4 linked regions of the Oryzias latipes genome follow. The protein of the gene in region 4 purifies or fractionates together with the protein of the main gene of each other region. This does not show direct contact. Links are inferred from orthologs where the notes say so. Each region holds a gene or a part of one and is shown on either strand. Other genes may lie near its edges. The genes, in order: ras association domain-containing protein 6, microtubule-associated protein 1B-like, map1b and serine/threonine-protein kinase 3.

Evidence for each region.
Region 1: the proteins of serine/threonine-protein kinase 3 (region 4) and ras association domain-containing protein 6 purify together in Homo sapiens (affinity purification with mass spectrometry; 4 studies listed by BioGRID and IntAct, counting the BioPlex papers as one, with this or other methods). This does not show direct contact. The link is inferred for Oryzias latipes from reciprocal best matches to the Homo sapiens genes STK3 and RASSF6.
Region 2: the proteins of serine/threonine-protein kinase 3 (region 4) and microtubule-associated protein 1B-like purify together in Homo sapiens (affinity purification with mass spectrometry; 3 studies listed by BioGRID and IntAct, with this or other methods). This does not show direct contact. The link is inferred for Oryzias latipes from reciprocal best matches to the Homo sapiens genes STK3 and MAP1S.
Region 3: the proteins of serine/threonine-protein kinase 3 (region 4) and map1b purify together in Homo sapiens (affinity purification with mass spectrometry; 4 studies listed by BioGRID and IntAct, with this or other methods). This does not show direct contact. The link is inferred for Oryzias latipes from reciprocal best matches to the Homo sapiens genes STK3 and MAP1B.

Annotation. Positions count from the first base shown.
Region 1 is NC_019870.2:20,592,749-20,597,988, forward strand, and holds part of ras association domain-containing protein 6, read right to left. Parts: intron 4,576-5,240; coding exon 4,376-4,575; intron 4,292-4,375; coding exon 4,190-4,291; intron 3,667-4,189; coding exon 3,615-3,666; intron 3,542-3,614; coding exon 3,423-3,541; intron 2,967-3,422; coding exon 2,869-2,966; intron 1-2,868.
Region 2 is NC_019862.2:5,879,631-5,885,630, reverse strand, and holds the start of microtubule-associated protein 1B-like, read left to right. Parts: upstream 1-2,143; 5' UTR 2,144-2,201; coding exon 2,202-2,325; intron 2,326-5,506; coding exon 5,507-5,608; intron 5,609-6,000. Other genes in the region: trmt13 (tRNA:m(4)X modification enzyme TRM13 homolog), read right to left, coding at 1,625-1,776, 1,936-1,975. UniProt on the Homo sapiens protein: Microtubule-associated protein that mediates aggregation of mitochondria resulting in cell death and genomic destruction (MAGD). Plays a role in anchoring the microtubule organizing center to the centrosomes. Binds to DNA. Plays a role in apoptosis.
Region 3 is NC_019870.2:7,505,364-7,511,080, reverse strand, and holds the start of map1b (microtubule-associated protein 1B), read right to left. Parts: upstream 3,416-5,717; 5' UTR 3,155-3,415; coding exon 2,983-3,154; intron 2,042-2,982; exon of another isoform or gene 1,942-2,041; intron 1,745-1,941; exon of another isoform or gene 1,682-1,744; coding exon 1,580-1,681; intron 1,493-1,579; exon of another isoform or gene 1,084-1,492; intron 544-1,083; exon of another isoform or gene 1-543. UniProt on the Homo sapiens protein: Facilitates tyrosination of alpha-tubulin in neuronal microtubules. Phosphorylated MAP1B is required for proper microtubule dynamics and plays a role in the cytoskeletal changes that accompany neuronal differentiation and neurite extension.
Region 4 is NC_019869.2:24,048,747-24,054,652, reverse strand, and holds the start of serine/threonine-protein kinase 3, read left to right. Parts: upstream 1-1,953; 5' UTR 1,954-2,113; coding exon 2,114-2,139; intron 2,140-3,361; coding exon 3,362-3,442; intron 3,443-3,566; coding exon 3,567-3,695; intron 3,696-3,870; coding exon 3,871-3,985; intron 3,986-4,222; coding exon 4,223-4,387; intron 4,388-4,909; coding exon 4,910-5,077; intron 5,078-5,162; coding exon 5,163-5,300; intron 5,301-5,398; coding exon 5,399-5,524; intron 5,525-5,621; coding exon 5,622-5,820; intron 5,821-5,906. UniProt on the Homo sapiens protein: Stress-activated, pro-apoptotic kinase which, following caspase-cleavage, enters the nucleus and induces chromatin condensation followed by internucleosomal DNA fragmentation.

The sequences.
Region 1 (5,240 bases), on a different chromosome or scaffold from region 4:
CTCCCTACCATGACAAAAGTGGATAAAGGTGGAAAGATTTACCAATCCATGGACACCAGTGAAGATCACAAATCATTGAAGAAAAAAGGTTTAGCGCACTGTCTAGTGGGTCTAGATGACCCAACTCCCAATGTTAAAATACCTAGGATAGCACAAGGGTTAAAATTGTTTAGGTCAGATATAATGCAGTTTTGGAGGACCATTTAGTTTTATTAAAAACTGGTAACTAAAAACCTGAACCTAAACGAGCAAAAATATTTTTTTTATAAATACAATTGCAGTCACTGCAATCAAACAGCTTCTCTACATCTATCAAAAACATTTTTGATCCATTCTTTGGCAAACTGCTCCAACTGTCTCAAATCAAAAGGTTTTTTTTTTAATACCTTGAGAAATCTCTCATTTACTTTCTGTGGTCCGTGTTTACTGCGATACAAACCAAAGACTGCTTCTATGGAGTCCTATACTGTTCATAATTAAATAAATACATATTTAATTAAATAAATAAATATGAACTCATGCAAATACACAATAAACCAATAAATCTCTTATAAATATATAAAAAGATCATGAAACTGTGAAAAACCTGCACACCGATTTTACATAAGCCATTATATTATTCAATATATTTCATTTTGCTTTAAAAACCTGTTCATTATTTTAAAACAGCATTTTAAAATATTCATTTTATTCATGTGGAATATTATAATAATTCTACGTCTTTTTTCAGAACCTTGGATTTCAAAATCAATATTTTCCAAAGTAGCTTTGTTTTTATTTCATGTTGCAGTTTTTCACAATGGCTTATTTATTTCATGAATAGCTTTTTCAGGAGAATGTCTCTGTCTGTCAATCAAACTAGACAAGGCGGAGAGACTTTTGTGATTGGCTATTCCTTTACTCAGACATGAGCAGCAGCACCTTGACTACATCAATCGAAGATGCTTCACCAAACGTGACGGCGCAATGCACTCTCCTCAACACTAGGGGGAGGATGCACCTCAACACATCCACAGTGTTACTAGAAATTGGGCAGTTTTTGTTCTAAATTTGCGGATAAAAGTGGCTTTGGGCGAGTGTGTATAATTCAGGTGATTTTGTGGTCGGCTCAGCGGTTTTCATCTTCTCATTAACATCTAGTAGTGGCCTAAGTTAGGCTGGGTGGTTGTTGGAGTTCCACAAAACTTCTATGAACTGGAGTTCCATGAACGCAACATGCAGCGTGTGGGATGGGCTACCAGCTAATGACTTTAGCCTGATAGCCACATGGAACGGTTGCCTGTGCTTATCTCAGTACCAATGCATGGATGCACAATGTACATGGAGTGTTAAAAGATCAGGTTTATTTATTTTGAATAGTTCTACATGATAACAATGTTTCCATGTTTGAGTTCATGAGATCATCCCAGAGAGAGCCTCTGCTTCAGGTCCTGCAGTCAAACTACGTCTTAAATTACGTGTAAATCAGAGCGCCCAGGCAGCGCGAGAGTGTGTGTGTGAGCGCAAGTTAAGCGTCTGTTGCCCAGTCCCCCGGAAAAGTAATAATAAAAAATGTTTCCTCCAAGTACAGAGCCTGATTCTTGGAGTAAGCCCTGGCTGCAGAATTGCTCAATCAATCCCGAATCTCCACTGCGTTTTCCGACCACGGTCAGAAACGTCATCGCAGGAAAGGTTCAACATTTTCCCGGGAGGGAAAAATAAAATCAGAGGACCTGATTATAATCATTGTCTCATTGAAAATAGAAAAATATCATAAGGTTCAGGAGGCCTCAGCAGGCTTGTTCTGCTTTGCACAGCTGCCTGGACTGACTGTTGGTCCGCCAGCTCACCTCCTGCGAGCCGACATAAGGCACGATGTGAGCTCTGAGTGAATGGCGTTAGAATGAGGAATGTTTCAACAGGGGACTTATAGACGTGGACGACCGGAGCTCTTCTGTGGTTTGGTCCACACAAACCCTCAAACTACAAAAACAGAGTCATTCATGTTTGCATCTTCTGCAGCAGACAGATTGTTTGTCTCTATTTGATCTCTAATGTCAGCAAAGCCGTGCAGATATTGCTGAAATATGTCACCTCTCCGACCGGCACACAGCTGTGCGGGTATCGAGGAATATGAGTCGATTTCCATGGATGAGCCAATGGGCGTTTAGATCCCGCCTACTTTCACTGATTGACAGATGGACTCATTCTCCTGAAAAAGCTCTTCATGAAATAAATACGCCATTGTGAAAAACACCAACATGAAATGAAAAAACAAAGCTACTTTGGAAAATATTGATTTTGAAATACGAGCTTCTGAAAGAAGACAGAATTATAATAATATTCCACATGATTAAAAATGAATATTTGAAAATGCTGTTTTAAAATAATGAACAAAGCAAAATGAAATATATTGAATAATATAATGGCTAATTTAAAATTAGTATGCAGGTTTTTCACAATTTCATGATCTTTTTATATATTTATAAGAGATTTATTGGTTTATTGTGTATTTGCATGAGTTCATATTTATTTATTTAATTAAATATTTATTTATCTAATTATGAACAGTATAGGACTCCATATGCTTCTCCCTCTCAAAATAAACAGACTAATTGTAAATAAACCTGTGATCTTCAATAAAAGAATACATAGGACACACAGTTGAACATGTCTCCACTGTCAAATTGATTTCAAAGTTTCCTGGAGGTAAATATCATAATCTCTAAAATGATTTTGAGGAACAACTTCAAAGATACATGGAATTACTGTTAATAGTCTTAATCTTTTAAGTGACCATTGGGCTTTTTTAAAAAAAAAGAAAATAATAGAAGAGTACCAAGAATGTTGTCCATTTGTGTAAGCCTATGTGTTGGATCATATACTCACTTAATGATTACACTCTGTATTTCTCTGTTCTCTTCCTCTTTGAGGTGCAGAAGAACCTGCTCCAGAATTGAGTGCTCCAAGTTCAGATACTGAGCAACCTGATAAAACAAAACAGTGCAACTATAACAAAAAATTCAAACCTAAATGAAAAATATGTTTTCTGGAAAAAAACAAAAACAAATTAAAATTAAATTAAAATTTAAAGAATGTATTTCTTAAAACTATTAAGTTGCTCTAAAACAAATATTTAGCAAACAAAGTAGTTTATTTGCTAAACTAAAGTTTGCTGTAATGATGTAACATAAAATAAGGGACAATAAAAATTGACATAACCTTTATTTAAAACTAATAATATATTATTTTAGGATTTTATTGTCTATTTATCAATCAAGTCCTTAAAAATGACCTCAGTGAGCAATAAAACTCCCTTGGACTGTTTAAGATCGAAGATTTTGGTCTGAAAAAAATGGTTTCTGTTCAATTAGTTGGTTACTTTAATAGAAAATCATTAAAAATTCTAAAGTGAATGTCACCCCTTAAGTATTTATGTTTACATCATTGCTGACTTCCTCTTCATGCATGTCCATCAGAAAGATCTTCATGATGTCATCAGAGGGCCCATACAGAACCCGCTCCCACAGTGGTAGATCTTTGTTGCTCAGCTTCCTCTTCTCTGATCAAAAGAAAGCAACATGCATAACCAACTTTTTTTAATTTGACACCTTACTTTTTCCTTTTTTTCTTACCTCCACTCTGATGAATGCAATACAGAGCAAACTCCTCTGGATCATTCTCTATCTATAATGCAAACAATAAAACACATATTCAGCGTCTTTACATTAATTAAAAAAAATAATTTGCAAGCAGCATTGCGGGGGCAGCAGCATTGCGGGGCCCTCCTGGCAACCCTTACTAGCTGAGTGGCATCCACATGCCCATATCATTCTCTCCCCTTCTTCCCCTGCCACCCTGATCAGAGCTGCACAAGACAAATTAATTAAAAAAATGGCGTCTTTTCTGTTAATTTTATCTTCATAGCAACCTTATTGTTTTTTGGTTGTTTAAAAGGTTTTTTGAGGTTTTGACCATTTTAGTTTTTTTCACAATTGCACCTGCTATGATGTCACCTTTTCCTTTTTGTAATTTTGGTGAGTTTTTCAGTTTATGGGCTGAAATGTTCACTCAAAGGTACAGAAAAGAAGAAGTATTGCGAAAACAGTGTCGATCTTGTAGTGCAGGACTGATGTGGGACATAAAAAAACAATATGTATTATTGGTCATCTGTAGTCATTAAAGTTTCCAAACTGAGAAATAAAATCACCTTGAACTTATTTAAAAGCTGCTCAATGACTTGGTTAGTGGTCATCCTGCTGGAGATTCGCACTTTAGTTGAAGTACCAAAAGATGGTGTGAAGATGGAGGTCTGCAGAAACAACAATGAGCACATGGAATCAGAGAGGTTTATGACTAAAAATACAAACCAATATCTATGGTAACAGGAACTCACTTTATAGTTATAGAAGTGTCCGTTTATGGAGAAGCGGTGCTGTCTTTCAGTCTCTCTTTGTGCTGCTGACTTTCCCTTTCGCCTCCTCCTCTTCACTAATGACGCATCGCTCATACAGCGAAATAGGTTAGACTCCAACTCCAGTTCTTGATTCTTGCGTCTTGTAGGACGCAGGGTAGCACTCTCATAAGGAACAGAGCCTTTGGTTGCATACATTAAATTAAGCATTAAAAACATGTTTAAAATTCAGTGTTAGCAATAATAATATTTTCAGCAGGAGCAGGATAAGCTCAACATAAAACAACACAAAGTTATTGAAAGAGGCATAGAGTTTGACTAAATTTGCTTTTCCACCATCCTCGCACCAAGCCTCTCCCAACTGTAGGTGCATGTGAACGTAGCATGAAAGATATGATTTAGTTTTAATATACTTTAGTAACTACAACAGGGGGGCAGAAACACTATTTTTAACAAAGTAACAACCAGGTTAGACCTGATTATTAACTGGTCTAACCAGTTAATAATCATAATTAAAAATTGATTATTACCTGTCTCTTCTGCTGTTAAGGTCTTTCTTCATAGCAGCTGCCTTTAAAGGTGGAATGACTTTTTTCTTTCTTTGTGACATCTTTGCATACAGTTTTGTACTACCACATTTGAGGTAGACAGAATGCAGTATATGTGCAACATCCGAAACAAACTCAATGATACTGACTGATCAAATGGAAATTAATTAAAGATTGGAAATTGGTCTCAAGTGGCAGTCTGAGTAGATTGATCTTCAATGTTGGATGCTCAGCCCATTTCAAGTGTGGGAAAAGCACATTCAAAAAATTAGGGCAGCTTTAATTCCAAATAATCCACC
Region 2 (6,000 bases), on a different chromosome or scaffold from region 4:
TCCTCTGTCTCTTCTGGTGTGCCCCAAGGTTATGTCCTTGGTCCTCTTCTTTTCATTACTCATCTTTTACCCCTTGGCAATATTTTCTGTAAATTTAATATAAATGTTTATTTTTTCTGGATGACACCCTGCTCTATGTATCAAGCAAAGCTGAGTCCTCTCTTCCACCCTCCTCCCTCCCCTCCTGTCTGTCTGAAATCAGAAACTGGTTCACCTTAAACTCTCTCAAACTCAATAGTGATAAAACCGAGCTACTTCTCGTCGGTTCCAAGTCCACCCTTTCCAAAGCCACAAGTTTTACTCTTTCACTGATCTTCCTCCTCCCTGCAGGTGAAGAGTCTGGGTGTCACCCAGGATAGTTCTTTATCTTTTCAGTTCCATTTTAATAACATTGCTCGGTCTGCCCATTTCCATTTACGTAACATTAATTGCCTACACTCCTCCCTCACCATCCGCTCTAATTCTATTTTGGTCCACAGTCAGTAATTCCCTCCTCTTTGGTCTCCCTAAAACAAACCTCAATAAGCTTCAACTTAGACTTAGGCAGCAAAACTGGTCCAGAACTCAGCAGCCTGCATCACCTCCAGAACCTCCTCCTTCAGTCATATCACCCAGATTCTCCACCAGCTGCACTGGCTTCCCATAACCTCCAGAATCAAACTCCTGCTGTTTACCTTTAAGGCCCTCCATAACCTGACTCCTTATCTTACCAACCTACCGTACTCCATTAAAAAACAAAACCTCTGTTCTCTTCTGTCCTCCTCCGTTCAGCTCTCTGTTCCTCCGGCCCGACTCGTTACCATGGGAAGCTGAGCACCTTCAGCTGCTCGGCTCCCAAACTCTGGAATTCCCTCCCTCCGGATCTCCTTAACATTGACCCTTTACGTTCAAAACAAAAAAAGAAAAAAACTCAAAAATCATCTGTTTACTTCTGCCATCTCATCTAGATTCACTTTTGATTTTCTGTCAATTTCTATTTCTTGCACATTTAATGTTTATTTTTGACAGATCAGGGAGCTTGTTCATGCAGATGCACTCGTGGGCATTTGTGATCATTTCATTGACAGCGATTTAAAAAGGAGAAATACTCACAAATGCAATAATGAAGTGATTTCTTACTACATTTCTTTCATAAGAAAAACGTCACACATTTTGAAAACTCTAAAAACACGATTTGGGGGGCAGTTTGACACACATAAGGACTCATTCACGGCATGCTGGTGTTTTTTGTTCCATTTTGATGCAATTTTGTAGTCTGGCCAATAGATGTGACTAGTTTCAGTGTGTCAAATGCTTCACAACCCTGAACCACTTCAATACAATTAGATTCATTTGGGTTCAGAAAGCTTTGGTGTCTCCATCACTAGTAACGTGTGCCAAGAGTGGCTGTGGGCTGCGTGCAGACCCTGAACGCACCCTAAAGCCTTTCTTACAGTTTTACCGTAAAAGTTAAAATATTAATGCAAAAACTTTTGCAGTTCAGCTGCTGTACTAGCGTGGCAGCGATAAGCTGCAGGTACTGTCCTCTGGTGAGAGTGAAAACTGAATTAAAGCCACGTGATTGTCCGCTTGCCTTCTCCCACCACGCGCCTCGCCAAATCCTAGCGTCAGCACGTGAACTCACCGCGTTCGCATGTTCCCCGCAGAAGCGCTGTCCCTTCCCCACCATCATCTTACAGAAACGTTTCTTCCTCTCCAGGAAGAAGTTACATCTGTTGGGAAGCGGGGACGCCATGACGGACATGATGAGCGCGCCGCCGACGCCGCGTTCACGTGCTTAAATGCAGGAAGACCGGGCAAAAAAGCAAAAGTTTACTGTAAACTAGCAGTTTCACCCATTTTAAAAAACACGAAACTGACGCCACATCCGTTTGTGACGTTATTTATGTAGTTAATGTAATTTAGACATTGAATTTTAGATTTAGCAGCAAATACCCCAGTTTTTAGCTCCATAGCAATATTTGAACCGGTTCATTCTTTTCTTAATAATTGGTATCCAAAGTGTTTTCTGTTCAGAAGTCCAACAGCTTTGAAGTTTGGTCTCTTATCTTGGTTAGTTTTAAGTTGTGCTAAATGCTCAACCTGTGATTGGTCAGCTTGACTCATATCTCATCCCTGATTGGTTGTTTCATGGGTCTCGCATCGCCGCAGTCCCGCCTCCGGTCCCAGCGCAGCCGGATGACGTCAGGAGTGGACAGTCCATGATGGCGGCGGAGCGGGGTGGCGGTCCCGGTTCTTCTGGGCCTGATTACTCGGTTCTGGTGGTGGTGGGAGCGCTGCAGACCGCCGACCTACTGGAGCGGCTGTTGAGGCAAGTGGAGGCAGGTGAGTGAATGCTAGACCACAGCAGAACCGAGCCACTGCCGAACTACACGGAGGAAGTCCGCAGGCCCTTCACAATAAAAGCCGACCCAACTAACTAAGTCCTCTGTTTAGTCCTACGCGAGAAACCACCCGAATGAGTACGTTTGAAAATACAGACACATACTTTATGAAAAAAAAAATCTAGTTATTCGTTATTGTTAACACGTCTGTTTTCTTTTTCTGAAGTGATTGCTTTGTTTCCTGTTCAGTTTAGACATGTCTTGTCAAGATGAAAGTCTTCTCACTGGTCTACTGCATAGATCTGGTATCTGATTCAACCCTGATAACATGCAAAACGCTGTGGTCAAAAAAACTTTATGGGCTGAATTATTTGGTTTACTCCACTTAATCCTTATTTTGAAATTCTGTTCCGCCGGATGTTGTTTTGGAAATGTTACGTTTTGCAAGAGGAAAGTTCCAATAATCCGGACACTTTAGTGAAAAAAGAATCACTTTTAATCAGACATCAAAACGTTCAAAATTTGCCTCTTAGTTTTGGGCGGGACTATTGACGTGGAGTAAGCCTGCCACCACTTCCCATCATCCATCTGTTTACACTCCCCTGTGTAGGTGACCCTCACACCCCTAACTTAATATTACCAGTGCAACAATAACAGTATTGGAGCTATCCAGTTGTACAGTTGTGATCCAGATTCCAGCTCAGACAGAGGAAAACAAAGACGGACATGGATCCATTTGTCTGACAGTGGATGCATCAGAATAGAACAGAGCAGTAGCTTTTTCAAACTTCTCATATGTGTTCTCCATCATGAGAAAATGTTGCAAGGACATGTTAAAAACACAAAAAAATACCATTTCATTGTACCAGATTGGCACAAGTCCAGTTTGTGTCAGGCAGACGTGGAACCGGACCGTTTCTACCAACACGGACACAAACTTCAGATGAGAAGGTTGTTGAGGCTCCATCACACAGAGGAAGTTGAACTGCGACACATCAGCAACTTCCTGTTTGCTGAGGAAGTGGCTCATCTGCTATAGATAGGAAAAACTAAGCTGGTGTCCGTCTGACTGAAACGGATTGATCGGAACAGCGTGAGCAGTTTATTTTCAACTTTCTTAACTGCTTTGTTGCTTTGAGACTCAGCAGCATCATCATCATCATCATCATCATCATCATCATCATCGACTTCATGGTCTGCATTTAGAAACTTCTCTCTTTTGTGATAGAGGTACGACTCTCACTGACCGTTGCATCGCTCCGACTGTGCATCAGCGTACGACCCCTGATCTGCCAGGAAGTGAGGACATCTCAGAGCCTCTGCAGTGGTTTTGGACAAAAAGCTGGCTTCTGTGTTTAATCTGAAAAGTTTGACCCGTGGGTTGTGTGTGTTTGTGTGTGGGGTTGGATCTTCTCATTGTGGTTCTTGAATTGTATCAAGCATTTTGGGTCATCCAATCACGGCTTACTGGCAGAGGGGAGACGGGTATTGGAGACGGAGGCTGATGGTAGATCAGGCAGATCTGTGCCGTGGTGTTAGCCATCAATCCTGAATTTGTCTGCAGTGAATTCAGAGGAAGACCTCTGCCTGAAAGAGACTCCTTCCTTATTTCGTTTTCACGTTGCAGACTTCACATTTTAGTTTTCAACCACATTGCTGAGCTCATACATTTCTCAAAATCTCCCTGATGACTTCTGGTTCTCAAGAAAAACTTATCAAAGCTCTAAAAGTGACTTAAACCAGAACCTCTTAGAAACACTTTTGAAATTTGGCTGAATAAAAATAGATTTGTGGGTCATGTGATCACATCAGAGCTGCTCAGCTCTACCTTCTGCTTCTGAATGTCAGTAGACCTCCGTAAAAATGGCAGATTTGACCCTGAAGCGTTTTTTGACCTTTGTTCAAATCCCAACAAGCTGTAGTGTTTTCCTGCGAAAACACTACAGCTTCAGCTTCAGCTTCCTGTCTGCAACAAAGTTGCAGTCAGAGTGTAGAAATGTGGATGTTTTGTTCAAGTTTGACATTAGATTGTTGTGTTGTTGGGGGTCATAGATTGCAAGTAAAAAATACTGTCAACAGACCAGAAACACATGCGTGTGTGCTTAAGCGTCATCTTCCTGTCTGCGCACAGAAATGAACACATCAAAAGCTAAAGCATGGTTGTAAAATGTGTTTTTATGATGCTTACGTCAACATTGGGAGTTGGGTCATCTAGACCCACTAGACAGTGCTCTGAACCTTTTTTCTTCAATGATTTGTGATCTTCACTGGTGTCCATGGATTACATGAAATCTTTCCACCTTTATCCACCTTTGTCATGGTAGGGAGAACACGTCAATGTAAGGGTGGGGTCATCTAAGATAGCACAAGGGTTAACGTTTCTCTAATACTCATAGCTGCAAACCATTGCGAGGCCTCTTTCTGTCCAGCCTCCTTTCATCTGGTCTGGTTTGATTTCACACGGCGCTTTAATCACACATTTCCCCCGACTGAAGCAAACAAAGCGTCAATTCTCCACCAAAGCGCTGAACAAAAGGAGTGAAAGGTCAAATCACATGATTGTTTTAATTGATTCAGTCTTGATCATTCTATGAAGGCCAGATGAGCTCAACTTTATTTTGAGGAAACAAAGAGCGTCAGTGGAGAGGAAAAATGGAAGATGTGGAAGCAGCAGAAGAACCAAACTCAGCGAGGCTTCCTGTTTGCTAAGAGGGCAGCAAGAGACTGACAAAAAGGAACAAAGTCAGATATATTAAGTTATAGCAGTAACACAGACCTATAGAGCTCTGGTCTTCTTAACAACGGCATCTGTGTGTATTTGTCTCTGCTGCGGTTCACTTCACTGTGAATCCAGAGGGACTTTCAGTCAACCAGAGAAACCAAACCAGGACTTTTCAATTCAAGAACTGCCCACCTCTGTCCAATCACAGGCCAGATGTGTACTTTTCCAGTGCTGGACTGGAAGCAGCTGTAGAGGCTCATGGCCTTCCATCCATTTTCCAAACCCACTTAATCCCTTTCAGGGCTGCTGGAGCCTATCCCCACCACTTTCAGGCGAGGGCTGGACAGACCCCTGGTTGGTCGGTCCATTCCAGGGCGTCTGTGTCTTCAATCCAAAACAATTCAGGGGTCTGAACAGTAACTTGTGTTGTTGTGTTGATCAGGCTGTGTTTGTGTTGCAGGTGTGCGTTGTTGGCCCGTTGATCTGAATGTTTCTGTTCTGGATCAGCAGCTGAAGCTCTTCGTGTCCAGACATTCGGCGCTCCTGTCAGCAGATGTTACAGGTGAGAACTGAAGTTCTTCACATCTGCAGGGTTTCGGTTCGGCACATAAGAGACCTGGACTGAGTTTGAAATTATCCATAGAAAAGGGTTCCGGCTCCGACCAAACAAAGTCAATTCAGTCGCCATTTTTTTTTGCCAAACAGACTTCGCCATGTCTGGACAAGATGACTTCAGTCTGAGTCACGGTTTCTATGACAACCACTCTCGTCAATCAGGAGTGAACGTGTCGTAAAGCCACACCCCTACCATTGAAAGTGGGGTCGATGAAATCTGTCAAATGTTTTTAGCTTTCAACGAGAGACCACCTACTTTTCTTGAGGCATCTGATTGGTCAGTTTATAACTGGCACTACGGCAAAAATGCCATGATCATGAAATATGATTAACAAGAAC
Region 3 (5,717 bases), on a different chromosome or scaffold from region 4:
TTTAAAAATGCCATGCTACAAATACGGAGAGGGGGATAAAGCCTGAATTCTGACAGCAATAAGAAGAGATTTAGGTTCACTGCCATGTGGCAGGGTACATCACTGAGAAGCAGTGTGCATTCAAACTCATTTGAAGGTTTTTCTTTTAATGATTTTAAACTACACACCACCACGGTTTCCTAGCAAATGTCATTTCACTGTTTCAGTTGAAAATACTTCAAGAGCTATGTTGCCAGATCCTTAAATATCATAGAAAGTATTAATATTGGTGATCCAATGTTATGCTGACAGACTCGCATAGATTTTGTGATTTAAATAGAAGAATAGATTTGATAACAAGAAGCCATTTTCTCCAAAACAGAAAAGCTTGTTCTGGTTTGCCGATAGTAACCCAATTTGAATGGACAAATAGAGCTAAAAAACTCAAATGATTTACACCTTCATCTGGTTTGGCTTCACACTTCACTGTTGAGATAGGATAAAACTGTCTCTGTCCACTGTCCCTGGAAAAATTACACACTAACAACTGTTCATGTGCACTGATTAAGAAAAAAAAAACAACACAATGAAAGAAAACGTGTCTTTCTCAATGACATATTTCCAAATGATTTTAAATCAAAATGATTCTGCATTTTTTTAAATCAATGTTGCAGGTGTTCGCATTTGCCAAATACAGTGAACTACCCAAAGGAACAAATGTTTCCCAGTTTGAAAGCAGCATTTCTTTTGTTTCCTTTTGTTGTGGGGCAAAAGAAGAAACAAAAGTTCTGTGCAAATCTATAGAAAAAATTTACTGTGAGGAGGTAAATGCACTTTTCAATACACAAAGACTAAAAAAATTAGAACTTTTTGGTGAGTAAACTAAGCAAAGATTGGACATTTCAACAGATGAAGTTCAGAAACACCATTAAAGTTTTCAATTTTACACCCAGCAATCAGCATTTTTGCAAAACCATATTTTGCCATGAGGTTTTTCTATGAACGTCTTAAAAAAAACAAAGAAGGAAAACAGTAAAGTCTTTATTTGGTAAACAATGAAGAACATTTTAACAAATAAAGCTGGGATATTTTTATATACCGGTAAGTATTTTGCAGAAAAAGCGTGTATGGATGATTCTTAGCCGTAGCACAATTTATAATGATAAAAATTAAGAAGCCCATATACTTTTTAAAACCCTCAAACAGATTTGAAGTCAAAAGGGGATATTTTTTGTGACAATTTAAAGTGACAATTAATTAAAGTGACTATTTAATTTGTTGCCGTTTAGGTGATAAAGGGTGTTTTATTTTTAATTTTTTTTACATCAATAAGATCATTGAGGTTCCCTGGGAATTGAAGTGGAGAAAGTCCCTTTCATGAAAGCAGAACAGCTTGGTATTGATTAGAGACTAACGATTCAATTTGAAGGGACAAACAGAATCAAACCGTGGCAGCAAAATGCTTTTCAGATCACAGCTGAGCGGCCAGATCCTCAAACAGCAGGGAGTCAAGGTTTCTGATTTTTTTCCTCTTCAATCTGTTTACCATCTGTGCATCACAGAAAAAAATTGTCTCAAATATGTTTTTCTTCTTGTTTACCTTTGACATCTGCAGAAAAGCGAGCAGAGTGTCTGGAAACAAACAGCTTCAGCTCCTGGTCCAGGTTGCAGTCGATCAGATTTGTGTCCCAGGAACGGATTCCTGCACAACACAAACTATTTTAAGACATTTCAGGAAAAGAAAGGGGAAAAAAAAGACACCAAAGTGTGTAAAAAGTCGTCTAGACATCTGCCCCACTTCCTGTTCACTGGAAAACGTTTAGATTGGTTACTGATTTGGCAGAAGCCATGAAATCTATATTAGGAAACATCCATAGTGCTGTTTATGTTTTGCCGTGGGCCACATGAACCCGGGGTCTCTGCTGTACTGAGTCATGGTGTCATATCCTCCATTTTTTTCAGTGTCAAGGCCTAATGATGACCTCCAAATAAACTTTGCCAAGTCATCAAACTAAAAAAGAATCGATCAAAACAAACAAAAATGACATCTCATCCATAAAATAGGTAATTTGGAATAAGAAAAACACAGAAGGGCATCTGTAAAGTAAAGTTTCAAGAACATTTGATATTTTTTTTAAATAATTGTGTAAAATCTGAAATAATAAATAATGCATGTAGACAAAAACATAAATATAAAGAAAATTCGTTTATTCTTTAACCATGCTCTTATTTACAGATAAAGCGTCCTCGTTTACTGCGCCACATTCTCCTCTTCTTACGGCTCCCTCAAACAAACAGAGCTCTTTGGCATCAGCCGCAGCTGGAGAGTCTCTGAAACGCCCTCCTCCAACTGAATCTGGACCCTTGTGGCTTTCCGTAGGGACCGCAGTGCGGACAGGGCCACGCCCACAAGCCGGTGTGGGATGAGAGAGCTGGATGCAGGATTAGGATCGTGATGGTTTCTTGTCACAGCAGCAGGAAAATCCCGCCTGCTTTTGTTTTATTAATCACAAAAAAGTGACAATTTGAGCCTAAAATCGCGTTTTTTGGGGGGAAAAAAACACAGAAGAGAGCAGACAGCCCCCCCCCATCTCGATGTGTCCGCCTCCTGACGAACAAAAGGCCTCAGTAGAAGCTCCAAGATGGAAAAAGTGCTGCTTAGACCGACTTCTAGAAATGCATTTTTGGAGGTGATGCTGCAGAAGACGCGTTTACAGCAAGGATGCCTTCTGGGAAACGGTTAGGATCTACCCCCGCAGTCTGAGCTGCATCAATAAATAAAATAAATAATATTTTTTTAATCTGTCAAATAAAAAAAGGTTTAGTGTGATTTTGAAGCTCTAAAACGCATGCGTAATTGGCCTGGCATCATTTCCACCGTAACATTCCTCTTAATGACAAAACAAATTCAAACTTTCAGGCACTATATCTCTCCTGAAAGAGTTCTTGGGGACTTGAGGTGTCAGTGGCCCACACCCACAGTCTCGCACATCTCCATCTTACCTTTTTCAATGTCTGCAATGGCACACTTGAGCTGATCGTCGCTGGTGATCTCCCCGATCACCACCAGCAGGTAGAATTTGCCGTCGTTGAAGTGATGGGACGGACTGGAGGATGCTGCTCCGATGCTGCTGCCCAGAACCTCCATTTCTGCGGATTCTACAAGTGTAGCCATCCTCTGCGCTGCTTCTCCTGTCTGTCTGTGCGGTTTATCCAAGCAGCAGTCTGCCTCCTCCTCCTCGTCCTCTTCCCTCTGATCTTATTCGCCACAGACTGCTGGAGTGGTCCCCAGACACTCGAGTGGAGCCCTTAAAGGAGTGGCCCTGGCTGTTTTATACCGGCAGACATTGTGTCACGCTCCGTCCGTGGCCGGGCACAGGAACGCGCGCCGGGAGCGATTTCGCACACTCACTCCTCAGCTGATGTCATCCGCAATAGAGAGGGTGCATCCGGAAGTCAGATATGTGCCGCTTTGGACTGTAATCTCTGCACATCCATCACTTTATTTCACTCATTAATTTAAAGTCAAATAAAGCAGAATATTTGCTAACTGCTCCTTTTCAGAAATCGTTGTTTCTTATGCATGTTTTCATGCACTTTTGACTTTCTGGACAAAAAGAAACCACAAGGATTTTCCCAAAAGATTAATTTGAAATGACTAAAATTTGTCTTTTTTAATTCAATTAATGACATTTCCTGCAAAAAAAAAAGGAAAAGAGCTTTGGAGCTGATTATTGTTCTTCTTTTGCTAAAAATATTCAAATAACTGAGAAGTAGGTGCAAAGGGGTAATTGAGCCACACATTATTAGTGCTAAACAGCAAAAAACAAAAAACAAATCTTTACTACAACAGTAAATAAAAACCCTGCTACAATTGAACCAAATAACTGTAAACATTGCTAATAAAATCCTAAATAAAATTGTAGAACAATGTAGAGAAAAATCATTAAGTAGCTAAAAAAAATACGTTTATTTGTAAATGCTCAGTTGACTCTTTCAGCATTGAAATTGTCTCAACAAAGTTGAAAAATGCTAAAATAAAGGCTTTAAATGCTGAAGTCCCTGAATAAACATAAATTAATCTTAAAATGTCATCGTCATTTTACTGGTAAAGCTAGGCTCATTAGGAAAACAAAAGCCCCTTTTTCAGTCAATTCTGCTGATGAGCTGCATTGTGGGATGTTTCCAAAGTTTTGTGGGCTGTGGAATGTGGAATATATTGTTCCTCTAATATCTATTTTGAAAAATTATAAAGTGTTTAATTAAAATATATAATGCCAAGTGTTCTCATGAAGATGCCCTTTTGCTGCCCTTTACAGCAAAAAAAGATAATTCCCTTTGTACTGAACTGATAATGTTGACAGATTTCAAAGCAGTTGTGCAGAAACCTAATTCCTAGATTTTTGTGGGTTTGTTGTGAATTAGTCAGAAATTGCATTGGTTCGTTGGCAAAAGCTCATTCCTATTATTGTCAGCTTTTTCATCCACAGTATTCAATTACAGTATCGTTGAATTGATATTTATAGACCAAAAATATGCAATTATACATAAATAAATAAATAAAAGGTAAGATAAAACTAAAAAGTGAAACAGAAAAGAGAAGAAAGTACCCTCCCTCCTAACCCACGAGGCTCTTAAACAGATGAAGGAACACTAAAAAGAAAGCATGATTGATAACAGTCTCTATTCCTCACATCCAAGTCATCAAACATCAAAGGTACATATTATCACATATTCGATAAGAGGGATCCATGTCACTGAAAATTTTTGTTGTGTTGATTTTACCTTGTATGTGAGCTTTTTCAAAGGCAGGAAGGAAATTACGGTAACTATTTTAACCATTGGGAGACCGAACGAGCTTCGTCAGATTTCCAATGGAATAAAATCCGTCTATGTGCGAGAAGAGTGGCGAATGCAATGGCACTTCCCTGGGATTGATTTGTTTTATGTTGAGGTGTCATGATTCCAAAAATACCAACCCCGGAAATTAGGTGTGAAATCTTTTCCATAGATGTGGGATAGGACCTGAAAGATATTTCTCCAGTAATTATGAAGGTTGAGACAGGACCAAATCATGTGTGCAAGATGCAGACATGTGCCAAAAGCTCATTTCATGTTGATATTTGCTCTGATGGAAATGTGAAAGAATTACCTTTTATTCTGAAAAAATGGAACAGAAACAAGTGCTTGTTCTGCAGAATCGTGTGATCAGAACCGCCGGGGTTAAAGACAGTCAGCCTCAAATGAAAGGACCTCAGATCACAGGACTCTTTTTTTTTTTGTTGTGTTTTTCCTTCCATTCCCAAAAAGGAAGTGTGTGTCGGTGGGTCCTGATGCTAATTGCAACTGGCAGGTTTTATTTTGAAAGAGACATAAAAGACATAAAATATGTCCAGGTTTTTCCAGCGGGAGAATCTAACAGTTTATAGTTTGTTTTTGAAAACAGGACAGCTGATCATCAAGACAATGACATACAAGGCTGTGGTACACGGTGATGAAGGTTTTCCCTCTAATAACATTGGCAGCTCATTTTTTTATTGTGTTGTATTATGGCGGGGGATGTGCAGATCTGATGCCTGTGGATTCCTGATCGGATCAGGATCAGACTGCTTCTACAGCTATTCCTCCACTCTTTGCTGGATTCTATGACCAGTTTCTGTAATAGATGAAAGGTAAAATCTACTATAAATGAAACTACCAGCTGATTTTTAAGTGAGACCCACACAAACCTTTGTTTT
Region 4 (5,906 bases):
ATGGTCCTTGGATCTTTTCATTTCTTCCCTCCATTCCTCCACACTCTTCCCGTCTGCAGCTGCGCAGTTAGGCGTCCCAGAAATCCGTTTCTGCAGGTGGTCTGCACAACCTGTCGGCGGACTTCTGTCCCTGCTGGAAGGTCTTGCTCTGGTGCTGCAGCTGCTGCCTCCAACACTTTCCTCCTCCTGAAGGCGGTGGTCCTGGGCACACGCTCAGGAGGAGGAGGAGGTGATGGTGGTGGAGCCTCAGGGGCGGCTAGGATTCATCATTGGAACGTGTTGCTGCAGAGGCGTCTTCTCCTCTGGCATCTTGTCGTCGAAGGGCTGTCCCGCCTGAACCAAGGACAGCCCTTCAGCTGCAGGTATAGGCTGCAAGGAAACAGCTGGAGCAGCAGGAAGGAGTCCAGCTTCCTGCTCAATCACAGCCCTTTCCCACTTTTTCTGCCGGCTGGAGAACTTGAAGACACAGAGTATGCTGGTCCCAGGATGCTGGGATTTAGGAAAAGATACAACATCAGACCGAAGAAGTTAAAGGCTCTCACAACTGTGAGCAGAAAGTGAAAGTTTCAAAATTTAAAAGCGCATCTTTTAATAAAAACACAAACATTCAACATCGTTTCAGCACTTAAAACCATCGATTTCTCGTTAAATCAAAGGAAAAACAGCACTTACGTCCAACCAGGAAGACGGCAGTCATGACAGTAAAAGAAGGGGGGCGGGGGCGAGAAATTGGAACAAATCCAGCTCTCTGATTGGACCCCCAAAGTTTCAGAGTTGAAATTGGAACGAATCAGGCCATTTGATTGGTTGAGAAGTTGGAACATTTGGAACATGTAATGAAAACATGATGAGTTTGAACCAAAAATACGTCAGCTGCCCTGGACACGGCATCTCTGGTGCAGCAGTCGCGGTCCACATAGATCAGCTGGGGGGAGGAATCTTGGTGAATTGACACGGCCTCATAAGCACAGTCGCCATCCTAAACAGACCCTCGTGTTGTAGCCATAAACCGTGAGCAGTCAGAAAGGCAATGGAAGAACGGGCATAGGTGGAGGTGATAGAAATTGCTCCCTCTCATTGCTTCAAGCCAGGAACGACTCACAGTGAGTTAGTTAGTGAATCCTTCTTCCATCAGCAAGAGCACTAAAGATGAAAGGGGGCTGGGTCTTTTAGCATGACAACGATCCCAAACACACTGCCCGGATAAAAAAGGAGTAGCTTCTTAACAGCAGTTCAAGGTCCTGGTTTGGCCTAGCCTGTCAGATCGCAACCCCCATAGAAAATCTTTAAAGGGGAATGGGCTAAAATACCAACAACAGTTTGTGAAACCCTTGTGAAGACTTACAGAAAACGTTTGACTGCTGTCATTACCAAAAGAGGGTATGTAACAAAGCATTGAGTTGAACTTTCCTTAATTGTTTTTTCTCATTTAGTCTCTCATAGTTGAGGTATCCCTGTGATGAAAGTTACAGGTCTTTCTAATCTTTTTAAGTGGGAAAACTTGCACAAGTGGTGGCTGACTTTTTTGCCCCACTGTATCGGAATAAATTGATATAATATAGGCCCTTTTATGGGAAAGAAATGTCTAAATGTGGTGAAACTGAGACATAATTTTCCTGAGGTTAATTTTTACATTCGGCGCCCCATACCCTTTAAATGAATCCCAATAAAATCTAAAATTAGTACATACTATTCCTCGGACATAAATCAATTCTTTGTTTCCAAAATAATGCCAGTGTAACGTGAAAACATTTATATAACTTTAAAATTACATCTTTAAAAATTAAACAAAAAATTACAGTGCAATTTGAGTTTGTTGTTGAAGTTGTTGTTTTTTTGCTGTCATTTCTTTCATAAAAAACACAGGCCACGTTTTCCCGACTTTGTAGGTAACCCTTGAAGCCGCGAGGTGGCGGTAATGCGTTAGATCTTTTGTGCATTGCCCTCACTAGATTCCACGAAGAAGATGAAGCGCCCATCTCAGCTGGCCCTCTGCTAGTTTCTGACAACAACGCGTCTTGTCTGCCGACAATGTTCACACGTTCGTTCCATAGTGACAAAACGGCAATCTTTTTTAAAAGCGCTCCTTAAATTTACGTTTTCGAGTTGATTCATGATGGAGCCAACCGCGCCTAAAAGGTTTGTAAAGATTCCAATTGTTCAAACTTTAGCATAATCGGATGCTAGCTGAGCCCCTACTAGCTAATGCTAAGCTAACTCATTTAGTCGTTAAACTCCAGTGGTTTTGTTTGAAACTTTCTATTTACATGGATATAGGCCCTACTATTCTGTACTTCCTCACTTCAAAATTGACGTTGAAATTTCGAAACGGTGACACATTTTTAATCACAATTTTAAGGAACAACAAAAAAGTGTACATTTTATAAAACGTCTTGCCTTTTGTCCCTACAGGCAAATTTAATGTATTTAAAACGTGCGCGTACAGCAATTAAAATAACGAAAACAGTAGCAAATTTTATTTACAAAATGTAATTTAATTTATTGCGTTCTTCAAAACCAGTTAAGTATTATTTTGTTATGCAATTACATCATAAGCATATAATGTACTTTTCTGTTTGGCATTATATTTTAATTTTAAATACATTTGAAACTTTAACATGTTCATAACCTAATATTTATAGAAATATTTTCTATCTGCTGTTTTTATTAGAGCTATAGTAACAAGGTAATTTCCAATTTTTGTATCAATAAAGTTTAATTCAGTTGTATTTTGTTGTATCATATACAGTACAATACATAAATCAGACTTTGCACACACAATTGGCTTTTTTATTTGGTTGCTTTGTTGGTTTTCCTCATTTTATTGAATTTTATATTTGAAATTAAATGTGAATTTTACTAATACAGTATCATTGTGTTGACAAAATAAGTTAGGTTTTAATACTTTTTATGGTTGACAGTAATCCTGAGTGAGTGAAACTACATCTTCTTAAAACCTTTTCACATGACGAGCAAAAACCCACAGGGCCTTAATCAAGTAACATGAAGTCACTTCCTGGTCATTTTTGAAAGCCGTTTCATTGGAGGATTTCTAGTTGTGCTGTTTTTAAGCCTGTTATTGAAAAACTAAGAAAACACTTCAAGTCTTAACTATTGTGTTGAAATCCATACTGATAGCAATAAACAATTAACAAATCTGTCTTTTTTGGTAGACATTTTATTTGTTTCTTGCTCTCTGTTAAATATGGTAATCAAAGCAAAATTAATTAAAACGTATTTATATTAATTGAGTAAATAAATCTCATATTGTTCCCTCTGCATTACCTAAAACTATCTGGGCTATTTATTATTTATATTGTCTATTGATGTCAATAATAAGATGACTTTCTTTAAACTGCAGCAAGCTGAAAAAGCTGAGCGAGGACAGCTTGACAAAACAGCCAGAGGAAGTGTTTGATGTATTAGAAAAACTTGGTGAAGGGTAAGAACTTTGATTCCTTTTTTCTTTTCATCCTGTACTTTCCTTTTTTACAGTTGATTGTTGTGTTATACATTGGTTTTGCGCACCCTGGTGTGGTGTGTGACTAGCTTTGGTGTGTGCTTAGTTCCTATGGCAGTGTCTTTAAAGCCATTCATAAAGAGTCAGGACAGGTTGTGGCCATCAAGCAGGTTCCAGTGGAGTCAGATCTACAGGAAATCATCAAAGAGATCTCCATCATGCAGCAGTGTGACAGGTGAGAATTCCAGATGTCTCTGCAAATGCTTATCCGTGTCATGTGGAGTACATTAGATGATCAAAACTATCCAAAGAATTAGTCAAACTCAAGCTCCTCTGCACTCTGATGTTTGCAGGAATACTTCCCTTTTTTTGAGGTTTAAATACAAACTTTGCTCTGAACCTCTTTCCAGCCCTTATGTAGTGAAATACTATGGCAGCTACTTCAAAAACACAGACCTTTGGATTGTCATGGAGTACTGCGGAGCTGGATCCGTTTCTGACATAATCAGACTCCGCAACAAGACGGTGAGCCTTTTAAGTTTATGGTTAGAATGTGTTGTAAGATTGATCTGTTAGATTTCTTCCCTACTTGAAAAGAAACACTTAAAAGAAGCAGAAATAATCCAATTTTGACTACAGTTAGTCTATTTGGGCTGAAGAAATAATGTATTTATTTATGACTACCCTGATCTTTTATTAACACCAAGGTTTATCTCGCCCTGCCCTTTTTTGTTTTGTTTTTGCTTTGCTTTCATGGTCCAGCTGACAGAAGATGAGATTGCCACCATCCTTAAATCAACCCTGAAGGGTCTTGAATACCTTCACTTCATGAGGAAGATTCATCGTGACATCAAGGCTGGAAACATCCTTCTCAACACTGAGGGTCACGCGAAACTGGCAGATTTTGGAGTAGCAGGACAGTTGACGGTAAACAAGAAGAAATGATCCACTTATGTTTATTTGATTTGTGTAACTTGGTCTGGAATTTTTTTTTTTGATCCACACAAATCATACTTAGATCTATTTTAAACATGCTCCCAATAACGATAAAACTGTTTTCAGCCAGCCAAAATCCAAAAACCTGTGTCATTTCCTAGGACACAGGAAATTCACCTCTGAGTTGCAGCGTGGAGCAACGCCCCCATTCCCCATCACCCATATCTGAGAGCTGTTTGTACTCTCCCTTTTGCTTACACCTCCTCACACCCCTAACCTAACATTATCGCTGCAACAAAAATAGCGAGCAATATTGGAACAATCCAACCGGACCAGTTTTGATCTAGATGCCAGCTCAGACGAGGAATACGAAGACGTTCGTGGATGTAGTCGTCTACAAGTGGATGCATCAGAATTAAGCAGAGCAGGAAAAAAGCTAAAAGAAAAACCCACCCTTTTCATCAGAGCATGACTTTAAAGCCAAATGATGTTCTTGTTTACTTACTACTGAAGGATACCATGGCAAAGAGAAACACAGTGATTGGTACCCCGTTTTGGATGGCACCAGAGGTGATCCAAGAGATCGGCTACAACTGTGTTGCAGACATCTGGTCTCTGGGCATCACATCCATCGAGATGGCAGAAGGCAAACCTCCATATGCCGACATCCATCCTATGAGAGTGAGTGCTAAAATGTTTGTTCGTAATCTTCCTTTTCCTTTGTTTTTGTTTCTCATCATTTCCTGTAAAAAACGTTCCCCTGCAGGCCATTTTCATGATCCCCACCAACCCTCCTCCTACGTTCAGGAAGCCGGAGCTTTGGTCGGATGACTTCACAGACTTTGTCAAGAAGTGTTTGGTGAAGAATCCTGAGCAGAGAGCCACAGCCACTCAGCTGCTTCAGGTCAGAAGAAGGAAGATAAAGCCCACGTGTAACTTTGATTAAATTATGCAGAACAATTTGCTTTAAGCAATAATATGTTTTTTTGTTTCGTTCTCCAGCATCCATTTATCAGCCAAGCCAAGCCTGTCACAATCCTGAGAGATCTCATTACAGAAGCTATGGAGATGAAAGCTAAAAGACAGCAAGAGCAGCAGAGAGAGCTGGAGGAGGAAGAGGACAACTCTGTACGTTACCAAAAAAACCAAACAGTAGTGATGTAGTTAAACTTTCCCATAGAGAACCTTATATGGATGGTCTTTTTTTTTTTTTCTTTCCATCTAGGAAGAAGAGACAGAGGTGGACTCGCACACTATGGTTAAATCGGGCTCAGAGGGTGCAGGGACCATGCGAGCCACTGGCACGATGAGTGATGGTGCTCAGACCATGATCGAGCATGGCACCACCATCCTGGACGACCTGGGCACCATGGTCATCAACACGGATGATAAAGAGGAGCACGAGGACCACGGATCCATGAGAAGTAAGAAAACAGAATTAACAATTAGAATTAACATAGGACTAAAATAGGAGTGCGCAGAATATAATTTTGTCAAACGGATGTTTGTT